Linked DNA regions of Ovis aries. The protein of the gene in region 3 binds, or shares a complex with, the protein of the main gene of each other region. Links are inferred from orthologs where the notes say so. Each region holds a gene or a part of one and is shown on either strand. Other genes may lie near its edges. The genes, in order: MED24, MED20 and MED16.

Evidence for each region.
Region 1: the proteins of MED16 (region 3) and MED24 are in contact, whole or in part, in a cryo-EM structure (PDB 7EMF), measured with the Homo sapiens proteins. The link is inferred for Ovis aries from reciprocal best matches to the Homo sapiens genes MED16 and MED24. Residues at the interface, in NP_005472.2 of Homo sapiens: His29, Cys30, Pro31, Ser32, Arg52, Asp54, Asp55, Gln56, Glu82, Asp102, Val126, Glu127, Gly128, Asp129, Pro130, Val184, Ser185, Leu187, Thr203, Glu204, Ser205, Cys207, Arg208, Leu209, Arg210, Gly211, Arg212, Asp232, Gly233, Ser234; in NP_055630.2 of Homo sapiens: Ile539, Leu540, Asn541, His544, Pro545, Glu593, Arg629, Met630, Leu631, Gly632, Leu633, Asp634, Glu635, Asp676, Gln679, Gln680, Thr681, Ala682, Pro702, Pro703, Lys704, Arg705, Pro706, Ile707, Lys708, Glu709, His737, Met738, Gly739, Gly740.
Region 2: MED16 (region 3) and MED20 share a complex: the UniProt entries of both Homo sapiens proteins name them as parts of the mediator complex. The link is inferred for Ovis aries from reciprocal best matches to the Homo sapiens genes MED16 and MED20.

The regions. Positions count from the first base shown.
Region 1 is NC_056064.1:40,087,801-40,091,444, forward strand, and holds part of MED24 (mediator of RNA polymerase II transcription subunit 24), read right to left. Parts: intron 3,614-3,644; coding exon 3,514-3,613; intron 3,205-3,513; coding exon 3,029-3,204; intron 535-3,028; coding exon 270-534; intron 14-269; coding exon 1-13. UniProt on the Homo sapiens protein: Component of the Mediator complex, a coactivator involved in the regulated transcription of nearly all RNA polymerase II-dependent genes.
Region 2 is NC_056073.1:15,712,333-15,715,976, forward strand, and holds part of MED20 (mediator of RNA polymerase II transcription subunit 20), read right to left. Parts: intron 3,457-3,644; coding exon 3,203-3,456; intron 1,694-3,202; coding exon 1,478-1,693; 3' UTR 1-1,477. UniProt on the Homo sapiens protein: Component of the Mediator complex, a coactivator involved in the regulated transcription of nearly all RNA polymerase II-dependent genes.
Region 3 is NC_056058.1:41,105,788-41,109,431, reverse strand, and holds part of MED16 (mediator of RNA polymerase II transcription subunit 16), read left to right. Parts: intron 1-1,061; coding exon 1,062-1,493; intron 1,494-2,133; coding exon 2,134-2,239; intron 2,240-3,644. UniProt on the Homo sapiens protein: Component of the Mediator complex, a coactivator involved in the regulated transcription of nearly all RNA polymerase II-dependent genes.

The DNA.
Region 1 (3,644 bases), on a different chromosome or scaffold from region 3:
CCTTCAACAGCTCCTGGGGGGGCAGGGGAGGGGGACCCAGGAGCTGAGGACCCTCAACACAGGGCAATGACATCCCACAGCTCCCCTCAGAGCCCAGGAGCGCCCCAGGTGAGGAATGGCCTCTGGAGCCCAAGGAACCTTCTTGAGCTGGGATTCGCCAGGCTGAGGGTTGGGGAGCCAGCCAGCCAGACCTAGCTCAGTCTCATCAGGCCTGTCTCTGGCAGTCTGAGGATGCCTGCTCCCACAGCCCACCCCCAGCACTCCCGTACCTTAATCAGGTTGTTGCAGAACCAGTAGACACCACCCATGTGCAGCAGGGTGTCGAAGATGTGGATGGAGCGGCTGTCCACCCATCCCTTCTCCAGCACCTTAGCAAATATGTCCGTCAGCACCTCCTTGATGGGCCGCTTGGGGGGCAGCAGGTTCCAGTAGGGCATGGTGTCCATGCCCGTGGAGGGAAACTTAATCTGCGTGGCGGTCTGCTGCAGCACGTCCGCACACATGTGCTCCAGGATGGAGCTCATGATCACCACCCTGGGGGGGGGCGGGGGAGGGCCAGTGGTACAGGTTCAACAGAGGGGGTGGGAGTCGGGGCGGAAACACCCAGGCCCCACTCCTCCCAGGATTAGGGTTACGGAACCAGGAACCGGGAAATCAGCCTCATTCTGTGCTGAGGGAGGGAGGGGACAAGAGGAAGTTGCAAACCCTGAGCAGATGTGACCCCACCAGCCCTGTGCCAGCACCGAGCCTACAGGGGGTTGGTGGGCACTTGCCTCTCGGGTCATTTCAGCAATATATTCATACTTTTTTTTCCTCTCTCAGTCTCTCCCTCCAACTTCCCCACCCTCCAAGCCCGGGCCTGCCAATCCTCTGGCGTCAATATTGATAAATACAATCACTTCCCTCTAGGCTGTGCTCGAGGGGGGTTCCCCACCCGGCCTTGGCTTCCTCCCAAAGTAAACTGTTACTTCCAGGACAGGGGCCCAAGGGCTGCCCCACAAGACTCTTCCCGGCCCTTGGTAGCTGGGCAAATGTAAGTACATCCAGGAATTTCCTCATGACAGGAGTCTCTGATGGTGAATGCAGGTCTGGGCCTGAGAGCTAACCGTTCAGGGAACACTGCATGGCTCTGGGAAAGTCACCACGACTTTCATAGCCACTTTTCCCACCTGCAGGATGGAGCCATAGATTTCCCAGACAGCAGTTAGGGTGCTCACAATCAATTATATCAAAGAAAATAGTCCCTGATTTGTGGGAGGAGGATGAGGAAGGAGGGGAGGAACAGAGAAGGAGGCAGGGGAAAAAGACCCTCCCGATCTCATATCAGCTGTGTTTCCATTTTTTCCCTTAAAAGACATTTTGATGGCTACCTTGCGGGTCATCACTCATAACTTAATGTTTGGTGCAAGCCCACATTCATAGCAACACTAGTCACAACAGCCAAGAAGTGCAAGAAACCCATGTGTCCATCAGCTGAGGAACAGATAAGCAAAATACAACATATACATACAATGGAATATAATCCAGCCTTTAAAAAGCAAGAAGTCCTGACACATGCAACGGTGTGGTTGAACTCTGAGGAACATTACACAAAGTGAGACATGCCCGCCACCAAAAGATGAACGTGATATGATTTCACTTATATAGTAAATTCACAGAAACAGAAGCTAGGGTGGCGGTTGCCAGGTGCTTGGGGAAGGACAGAAAGGGGTGGTGTTTAATGGGTCCAGGGGCTGGGGTAAAGACAGGAAGGGGTGTTGTTGGTCCAGGTTCAGAGCTACAAGATGGAAACATTCTAGAGATGTTTCACAACAATGTGAATATACTTAACACACTACTGAACCCTACCGCTGGACCTGGTGGTACAGTGGAGAATCCACGCACCAGTATAGGGGACACAGGTTCGATCCCTGGGCTGGGGAGATTCCACATGTCTCAGAGTAAAAAAGCCTGTGTGCCACAGCTACTGAAGCCTCCAGACTCTAGGGCCTGAGAGTCACAACTGCTGAGCCCAAGCGCCCTATACAGCCCACACGCCACAACGAGCGGCCACCACGATCGGCCACCACGATGAGAAGCCCGTGTACTGCAATGAAGAGTAGTCCCAGCTCACCACAACTAGAGAAAGCCCACGTGCAGCAACAAAGGCTCAGCAGAGTCAGAAAAAAATAAAAATGAGCTGTTATCTTAAAAATGGTTAAGGTGGTAAATTTTAGATCATGTATTTTTTTACCACAATGTTTTAAAAAAGCTTACTGGATGGGTAAACAAACCCACACCCCCTGACTCAACATAGCTGAAGTTGCTAAGGAGGTCTTCCAAGTCTCTGAAAAGTCCAGGGAAGAAAAAGTCACAGAAGAGGGGGTGGGGGCAGGGTAGGGAGGGGGTGGACAGGCCCACAGCCTGTAAACACTATAGAGGGGCTCTACAGCTCCTAGAGAGGGACAGAGCTGAGATAAGACTGTTCCCACCAGCAAGCACCTGGGACTCAAGCTCTCCGAGGGCAGGAATCCTGGCCGTTTGGGGTCTGGAGTTTGGCACACACACAGCAGATGCTGGATTATAAACACGGCCGGCAAGAAGACACATACAAGCACTGCTGAGTCAGTGAGTGAAGATGTGATTGAGAATGTGAGTGAGCAGGCAAGTGGCATGTCTGGGGAGGTATGAGAAGAGGGGTAACTTCCCTGGTGGTGCAGTGGTTAAGAACCCACCTGCCAGTACAGGGGACACGGGTTTGACCCCTAGTGTGGGAAGATTCCACGTGTCTTGAGCGACCAAGTCCGTGTGTGCCGCCACACAAGAAGCCACCGCAGTGAGAAACCCACACGCCACAACCAGAGAGTGGCGCCTGCCCGCCGCCGCTAGAGAAAGCCTGCGCACCGCAGTGAAGACCCCATTTATTCATTGTACGCTACATAAATAAATGACTGATTTTTCCAAAGAGGGAGAGAGAGGAGGAGGAAGAGTGGTTACTGGAGGGGCTGACTTCTCACCACAGACCTGCAGAGTTCAAGAAGGGACCGACCTCTCGTTGTAGAACTGCAGCGTGTTCTCGCTGTACAGCGGCCCTGCCAGCTGGCGGATCATCTGCAGCGACTTCTCTCGCTCGTCCAGTCCCAGCATCCGCACGTGCGCCACGAGCCAGGCCACAGCGCACACTGCCAGGCTGCACACCTTCCCCTTGATATTATCTGTGATTTTCTGGGCGAGGGAAAAAGAGTGACTGGGGCCTCTCGCGCCCTCCCTGGCCATCACTTTCCCCGGCCTCCGTGAGCAACTCAGCAGAGCAGTGGGGTCTGGGGCCACGTCCAAGCCTCTTTTCACCACAAGTCTGATTTCCCCAAAGTCACCTGGTGAGAGAGGGTAGCTTAGACTATGACTACAGGGGAGGCCAATGCCCACACACGGGCTTCTGGAGGAAGGGTCGTTTTGTTTTTATGAAATGTAGCAAACTATCAAAGACTGGCTGTGCCTTAGGGAAGAGGGAAGGCTGCGGAAAAGAGGAGCTACCTGGATGGACTCGAAGGCTAGCACCCCATTCTCCCAGGCGTTGAGGATTTCCAGGATGGCCGCTGAAATGTTGAGACAGGCTTCGTGCCACTTCATCTGCCTACATGGGGATGGGGGTGGGAGAAAACATC
Region 2 (3,644 bases), on a different chromosome or scaffold from region 3:
GATGAGAGACAGATCCTAGGACAACCCACAGTACATACATGAACTTGCTTCTTAAGACCAGCTCTGACTGTGACCTCAGGGTTAGCTGGACTGAGCATCTCTGAAGCAGGAGGGCAGGGGCAGGCGATGGAGGTCAAATGAGCAGCTTGGAGGCTCCCATGAGATGAGGAGTTAAGAGTTCAGGACACCCTGAAGCGCAGTGTGGGCCTCAGGTCAACTGTTTAACCCCGAGCTCTGGGCACTCGAGAACTGGAGAGGTCTTGATGCAGAGACTGACTCAAGGGGTGCAGAAGTGACGTCCCCATGTGAATAATCCAGCTAAAGTGGCTCTGATATCAGCCCCATCCCAATCCAACTCAGAAACAAATAGCTTACAGGGGTGCTCTTTGCAAAATAGCAAGAATAGTCTTGGGCAGGTCCATTGAGCTCCCTGGGGCAGAGGCTATTAACTAGGCCCCCACATCCATTTTCTCCTTCACCTTTTGGTCACAGAACCCCTGGCATTTTAACTGGGCACATGACCACCCAAATAAGAGGCTCTCTATCCCAGAGCTCCTCTCAGGCAGGTGTAGCCAGAGTGACTGGAGCAACTCCAGGGCATGGCCTTTAGAAAAGAAAACTGTTCTCTCTCTCTTACCCCAGGGGAACTGGACATGTAGTTGATGATGCTCTGAGTTGCCCAAGGACAACACCCCAGGGGTGGCTGGACAACAAGCTCAAAGGAAACCAAGTTCCTGACAACCTTGTGGAGTTAAGCCTGCCCTGGGCTATCTGATTACCTCTGTACTATTAGAGAAGAGAAAAATAAACTATGAGCCTCTGTACTTTAGCTTCTTCTTATAGCCACTCAGCCTGTGCTTTAATATCATTCACTACCGAATGGAAAGATGGCCAGAGGGGAGACTTCAAAGGACTCAGGCAACACCCTAGAAAACTGATCTCACGATTTACCTCAGCAAACAGGTCAGAAAACGACAGCCACCAAATAAGCTTGGCCTCCTGCTTCTTTCCCAGGAAAGGCCCAGCCACATCCTCTGAGTGAAGCCCCAATGCAACACATAGCCTGTCCACTGTGTGGCTGGACCAAATCCTCAGGAACTGGTAACACAGACTGCCTTTCCACCGACACTCAGCAAGGACACCCCCATCTGACCTTTTCCCCTAAAGCAGGAGAGCTCCAGACGTCTCTGCTCTGGGTAATCACTTTCCTGAGGACAGGCCAAGCCCAGCAAGGCGGGGGCTGAAACAACTGTGGCGGGGCAGGCACAGGAGGGACTGTGTGTGAAGCTCAGTGGAGGGGAGTCCAGCACCCCAGAACAAAAGCCACAGCTGGGAACTAGACAGGGAGGGACACCCTCCTGTCTGCCCAGGATTTCCGGGGTCCAGAGGCCTGAGGGTGCGGTGCCTGCTCCTTCTGTGGAGTGCCCCCCCGACTCCCTCGGCCGGTGACACAGTTCAGCCCAGCAGCTGCCAGTTGCTAACGAATCCCCGCCACCGGCACCTGCTGCTGCTTGCGGATCTTGTTGAAGAGTTCCATGTACTGGACCATGGTGTCTGCTGGGCTGTAGACAGCGTCATGTCTGTTCCCAAACACTGCGGGTGCCCCTGGGGTGTGGCTGCCTAGAAAGCTCTGCAGGAACTCCAACAACAAGCTCCAGCAGTCGCTAGCTACCACACAGGGGCCATACTCCACCTGGGGACCAAGAGAAGGGAGATGGAGGGTGAGTGAGAGCAAGGACAGGTCATTTGCCCTCTGCATCCATCTTCCCCAACCCGGAGACCAGGACACAAACCTTCCAACCCAGAGTTGCCCCGCAGGAAATATCCAGCTCAAACACCAGGAATTTGAAACCCTCAGCACTGTACCGTTTAAGCTCAAACATTCTCATCTTGAGATTATCAACTCACAGGCCTGTGCACAAGACCCAGAGGCACAGCTTGGTCCCTTCAAATTATTTCTGAATTTTATAGTCCCAGCTATGATGCGTGTAGATTCATGGACAGCTTGGGAAAATTCTATGAGAAAAAATGAAGAGCAGGAGAAAAAGTCTGCGGGGTGTATAAGTTGGGGGAATTGACAAGAGGGCAAAAAGACATTCAGGCCCGTAAGTCACTTCAAGAGCAACCATTATTCCCAAGGTAGATATAACCTGGGCTCTGACCTTAAGAAATGATTTCCCAACTCATGTGACAGGGGCTGAAGGATACAGATCTTACGCTTGCTCATTCTCCTCTCCTAGTTTTTCACTGGAGAGATGGCAGGGCAAATTACTGGCAAGTACAAGGAGAAATAAGTAAAGAAACTGCCAGGTGTGTTTGTGTTGCAAAGTTGAAAACGTGGAGGATAAACAAACAGTGAGTTCCCCGTGGGTCTTGGCAAATTCTCTGTGTGTTATGAATGAAAAGAGTCAGGACATCTTAGCTCTAGAGGTCTCTGGAGTGTCACAGTAGTCATGACCACTAACGCCCTTTTCTCCACCTGTCCTGCTTTTGAGGACTTACCTATCCCCAGGTCTCCACATTTCAATTCCCTCCTTAAATGCTAATCCTGCAAGAGGTATCACAGTCCCCAAAGTCAGCGGTGCTCTCTGCCCCGAACTCCCAGAGCAATCTGTGCTTCCTTTATGGCATTTCTTACAGACTAACTTCAAAAACAGCTTGCATGTTTAGGCCTGGCTCTCTTATTAAGTCATAAACGTTCAAAAGGAAGGCCCTGCAGTTTACTTATTCTTTTTTTTTTAATCTCACACAGTGCTGGGACTGTGTTAGATTGTACAGACTCTCAGTGGTCCCAAAGCCAGCTACTGTCACACTCCATCTTTGTCATTTTCAATATACGTCATAGATGAAATCGTCACACATACCACGAAAGAAAGTGGACAGCATGTCAAAGGGAAGGGCACATCTTTGCTTCAAAACTTTGATTGGTCCCTCCGTGTAACAGTTCACCTGCCCCTCCTTGACCATCCCTCCTCTTCTTCCTAAGCCAGCCTTCCTAAGCTTTCTACCTGCTGCGAATCCAGCTCCCCATTCCCATTCTGGGCTAGAGCGTCCCTCAGTGATTAAAGAAAGGATAAAAAATGCAGGGCAAGGAGGTGTAGCTGCTCTGCAGACAGAAATCAGGGAGGCAGACACATCTGCCTGCGGGAACCTGCAGAGCCACGCCCTTCACCACATCTGCTCTAGTTCACCTAGGTCTTACCTCCACAGAGATGCCTCGGGCACTAGGCCCCATTGTGACCGTGCCCACCTTCACTAGGAAGTCACAGTACTGGTAACGGGTGCCCCGGGTCTCGATCTTGCTGGCCTTGGCACTCTGGAAAAAGCCCTTGAGTTTCACCATGAGCACGTCAAAGTTGGTGTCGGCAACAAGGCAAGGGCCGTTCTCAAAGAGGGCGAAGCAGCTCAAAGGGTACTCAGAATTGTGCATCACATACATCAGCTTCCCGGCCTGACCTGCAAGGGACGGAGATCCTGCTCAGCGACAAGACCTTCCTCAGCACATCCCAGAGTAGAGGCCAAAGTGCTGAATGGGGCCAGGAGGCAATCCAGCATCGCCCCAGCAGTCCTGGAGGGCGGCGGAGGCAAGGCCCTCACCAACAGCCTTTTCCAGAGAAGACCAGCAGCCAGGCAGCATGTGGCAG
Region 3 (3,644 bases):
TCACGTGGCTTGGTCAGCTCCACTCCCAAGCCAGGAGGGCCTCCTGGAATGATGCTGTGGGAAATGACCTTTCTTTCTATCCCTTCCCTGTGTCTGCCTCCTGTCCCTTCTCCCCTAGGGAGTGACTCATTGCAAGGCTTACTGCCTAACCATCTGGACCGTTTTTTCTGTGGGAGGTTTCTTTTTCAGACTTTCAGCATCTCCCCTTGGGGCTCACTTAGGGGCTTTTGCTTCTTTCTTTTAACACTGCTTTCACCTACACGTCCAGGAAACTCAGCTGGGGCTGTAGTCAGCCCTGCCCTTCATGGATATTTAGTCCCATGAGCCTGGGGGTGCCTGGGTGAGCCTAGTGAGTCTGCTCCTCATCCCCAGACAGAGGGGCAAAGAGTCTCCCACTACTCAGAGGAACTCTGTGCAGTCTCCAGCTCATGCTGTTTCAGTGACAGATGCTTTGTGCTGATGGAAAGGAGTCAGGCTTGCAGGCCTCCCTAGGGTCTGCCTCCGGGGATGCTGGGAAAGGCAAAGCTGGGGCAGAGGCCAGTGCGGCAGTGGCTGGGGGCCCAGGGGCAAAAAGATGAAAGAGCAGTGGCAGCTGTGCTTCCCAGCACTGCCTGCAGGGGGCATATCTGAGTCCTACAGCCACTTACCTAGTGCCCAGCTTGCTCTGTGCAGTGGCTCAGGCCGTGCTCCCACACTACCCACGCAAGGAGCCTGGAGTGGCTGAACTGAGCACCTGAGAACACTGGATGTCTGTCTGGCCCTAAAGAAAACACGGCTGACTGCTGTCCCTTGTGTGTCTAGCTGTGACCTTATCATGTTCTTGGACATACAGACAAGGACACTGAGGGTCAGAGAGGCCTGTGTCACCCAGCGCTCAGTGGCTGAAGCCGAATCTGACTTCAGGCTTGGTCTCTTGAGGCTTCTGCTATCTGGTTCCTCTGTGTTCCTGAGGGTGCGGTTCCCAGGAGGGGTCCTCGGGCCACGAAGGTAGACCCCTAAAGGCCGAACATGAACTGGGCGCCCCCCCACCCCCTGCAGCTGACCCCTCCCCTCCCTTACAGTCTGGTGCCTCCAGCTTCGGGGAAAAGTTCTCCCGAGTCAAGTTCTCACCATCGCTCACACTGTTCGGGGGCAAGCCCATGGAGGGCTGGATCGCTGTCACAGTCAGCGGCCTGGTCACTGTGTCCCTGCTCAAGCCCAGCGGGCAGGTGCTCACCTCGACTGAGAGCCTGTGCCGGCTGCGCGGCCGTGTGGCTCTGGCCGACATCGCCTTCACAGGTGGCGGCAACATCGTGGTGGCCACAGCAGATGGCAGCAGCGCATCACCGGTGCAGCTGTACAAGGTGTGCGTGAGCGTGGTCAATGAGAAGTGCCGCATCGACACCGAGCTCCTGCCCTCACTCTTCATGCGCTGCACCACCGACCTCAGCCGCCGCGACCGGCTGCCTGCCATCACCCACCTCAAGTTCTTGGCCCGCGACATGTCGGAGCAAGTGAGCCCGCCCCACCACCTCGAGGCTAAACCCACGCCTGGGCGGGGTTGCTCCCTCCAGGGGCTCCTGCCTTTTCCAGCTTCTAGAGGCACCAGCATCTCTGGCTCGTGGCCCCTCCCTCCATCTTCACAGCCAACAGTGCAAATCTCCTGTCTCTCTGCCTCTGACCCTCCACCTCCCTCTTATAAGGACCCTGTGATGACACTGGGCCCCCTGGGGAATCCAGGGTCATCCCTATCTCAGGGGCCTTAGCTTAATCCCTCCTGCCAAGTCCCCTCTGCTCCATAAGGTGATGTATCCACAGGTCCCAGGACCAGGACAGGGGAGTCTCTGGAGGCAAAGTTGAGCTACCTGCACCAGGTTCCCTGAGGTCCCTTGTAGCCTTGTGCTGACCAGCCCTAGCTTCACCAGTCCCTGATGTGTTTCCCTAGTACCTTTGCTTCCTGCTGGGGCACCATGGATGACCACCCCAGCACAGCACAGCACTCCCCATGGGAGTGAGGCCAGTGGGTGGGCAGATGCAGACGCAGGCCAGGCAGGCCTGGGTTGTACCCACAGTGGCATGTGAGCCCTAAGACGAGCCAGAACCCCACAGAGGCCATGGGCTATTCTAGGCCCCTCACCACGCACTCACCCCTAGGTACTGCTGTGTGCATCCAGCCAGACGAGCAGTGTGGTGGAGTGTTGGTCGCTGCGCAAGGAGGGGCTTCCTGTGAACAATATCTTCCAGCAGCTCTCTCCGGCTGGTGAGTCGCTCAGGTGGCCAGGCACACTCAGACTACCCTGGGTGCAGCGAGGCGGCGTGGTGGCAGCCTGAGTTTGCTAGAACATGCCCACCTCTCCCTCCCTCTCTGACCTTGAACCCATGCGGAGCCCCATGTCTCCGCCAGAGGGGCCCGCTTGCTGATACCCGTGTGGCTAAGATGCCAGGGGTGAACTGTGGCCACACAGCCCAGGGGCATTCCCCCTGCAGTAGTGCTCCTGGCCCTGGAGTGACTGGCCTGAGTTAAGAGGCCCCTGAGGTCCATCTGCCCTCAGGTGGGTTACATACGCTGCTCAACACAGCCCCAGAGGAGTTGTGTGAGGGTGGTCGGGCTGCACCTCCTGAGTGGGGTCCTGGCCCTTCCCAGTCCCAGGCTGGCCCAGCTCCCCACCTGCCCTACAGTCCCAAGGTCCCTGGGACCTTGTTATAGTAGGACCAGACTTCATGCAGAAGGGCCTCCCGTCCTGGTGGAGCCTCTTCCCAAGGCAGGCATCCAGGTGCTGAAGGGTCTCTGCTGAGTTCACCTGCGGCCCCCCACCCCTGCCCCTTGTCCCAGCCTCGTGGCCCTGTGGGCTCTCAGACCTGCCTCTCCTGCCCCTTCCTCCTCACGTTTGCCCACACTGGTCTCCCTCGGGCCCCACTCTACCAGCTATTGTCCAGCCTACAGTAGAGGGGGTGGCCTGACTTGGGTGGACAGTGGGTCCAGGTAGACTCAGGCAAGCTGTTCAGCCTCTGACAGCGGCCACTCTCCTATGTGACCTAGAAACGGCCAAGCCTGTCAGGAAGCCAGTGTGGGTGGCTGGTGCCGGCCTGGCCTGAACGTGCTCCCTCTCTGGGTATCGCCTTGGCTGTCACCATGGCAGCTCTGCTCAGTGCTGCCTCTCTCTGGGCCTCCGTCTCCTTGTGGGATGATGTTTTCCAGGAGACCCCTCTTGCTGAGACGTCTGGGGAAGAGCTCTCAGGACAGGTGGGCGCAGAGGCGTGTTATCACAGCCAGCCTCAAACTCTGTTTCAGAAACACAGCTGGACACTCCTGGGTTGGACCACCTCACTGCTCCAGCCTGCTTCCCTAAGTCTGCCGGCCCCCCAAGGCAGCTGGAGTGCTGGCAGCTGGAGTGCTGGCCACTGGCTGGGGGCCTGGGCTTGTCTCGGAGTCACCTTGGTGTCTGGGCACCTCTGCCCATAGCACGCGGGGACCAAGCCCAGATGGATGGGAACCACCCTGCCTCTTGCTGGTGGGCTCCGTTGTGGCACTGAGGTTGTGGGTGCCAGGAGGGGCCTGTCTGTCCACCTCCTGAGGGAGCTGGACAGATCCTGGGGTCCACCCAGGATCTCTCAGACCACAGGGACAGAGAACCCCGCGCAGACCAGCCAAGTCCACAAAATTG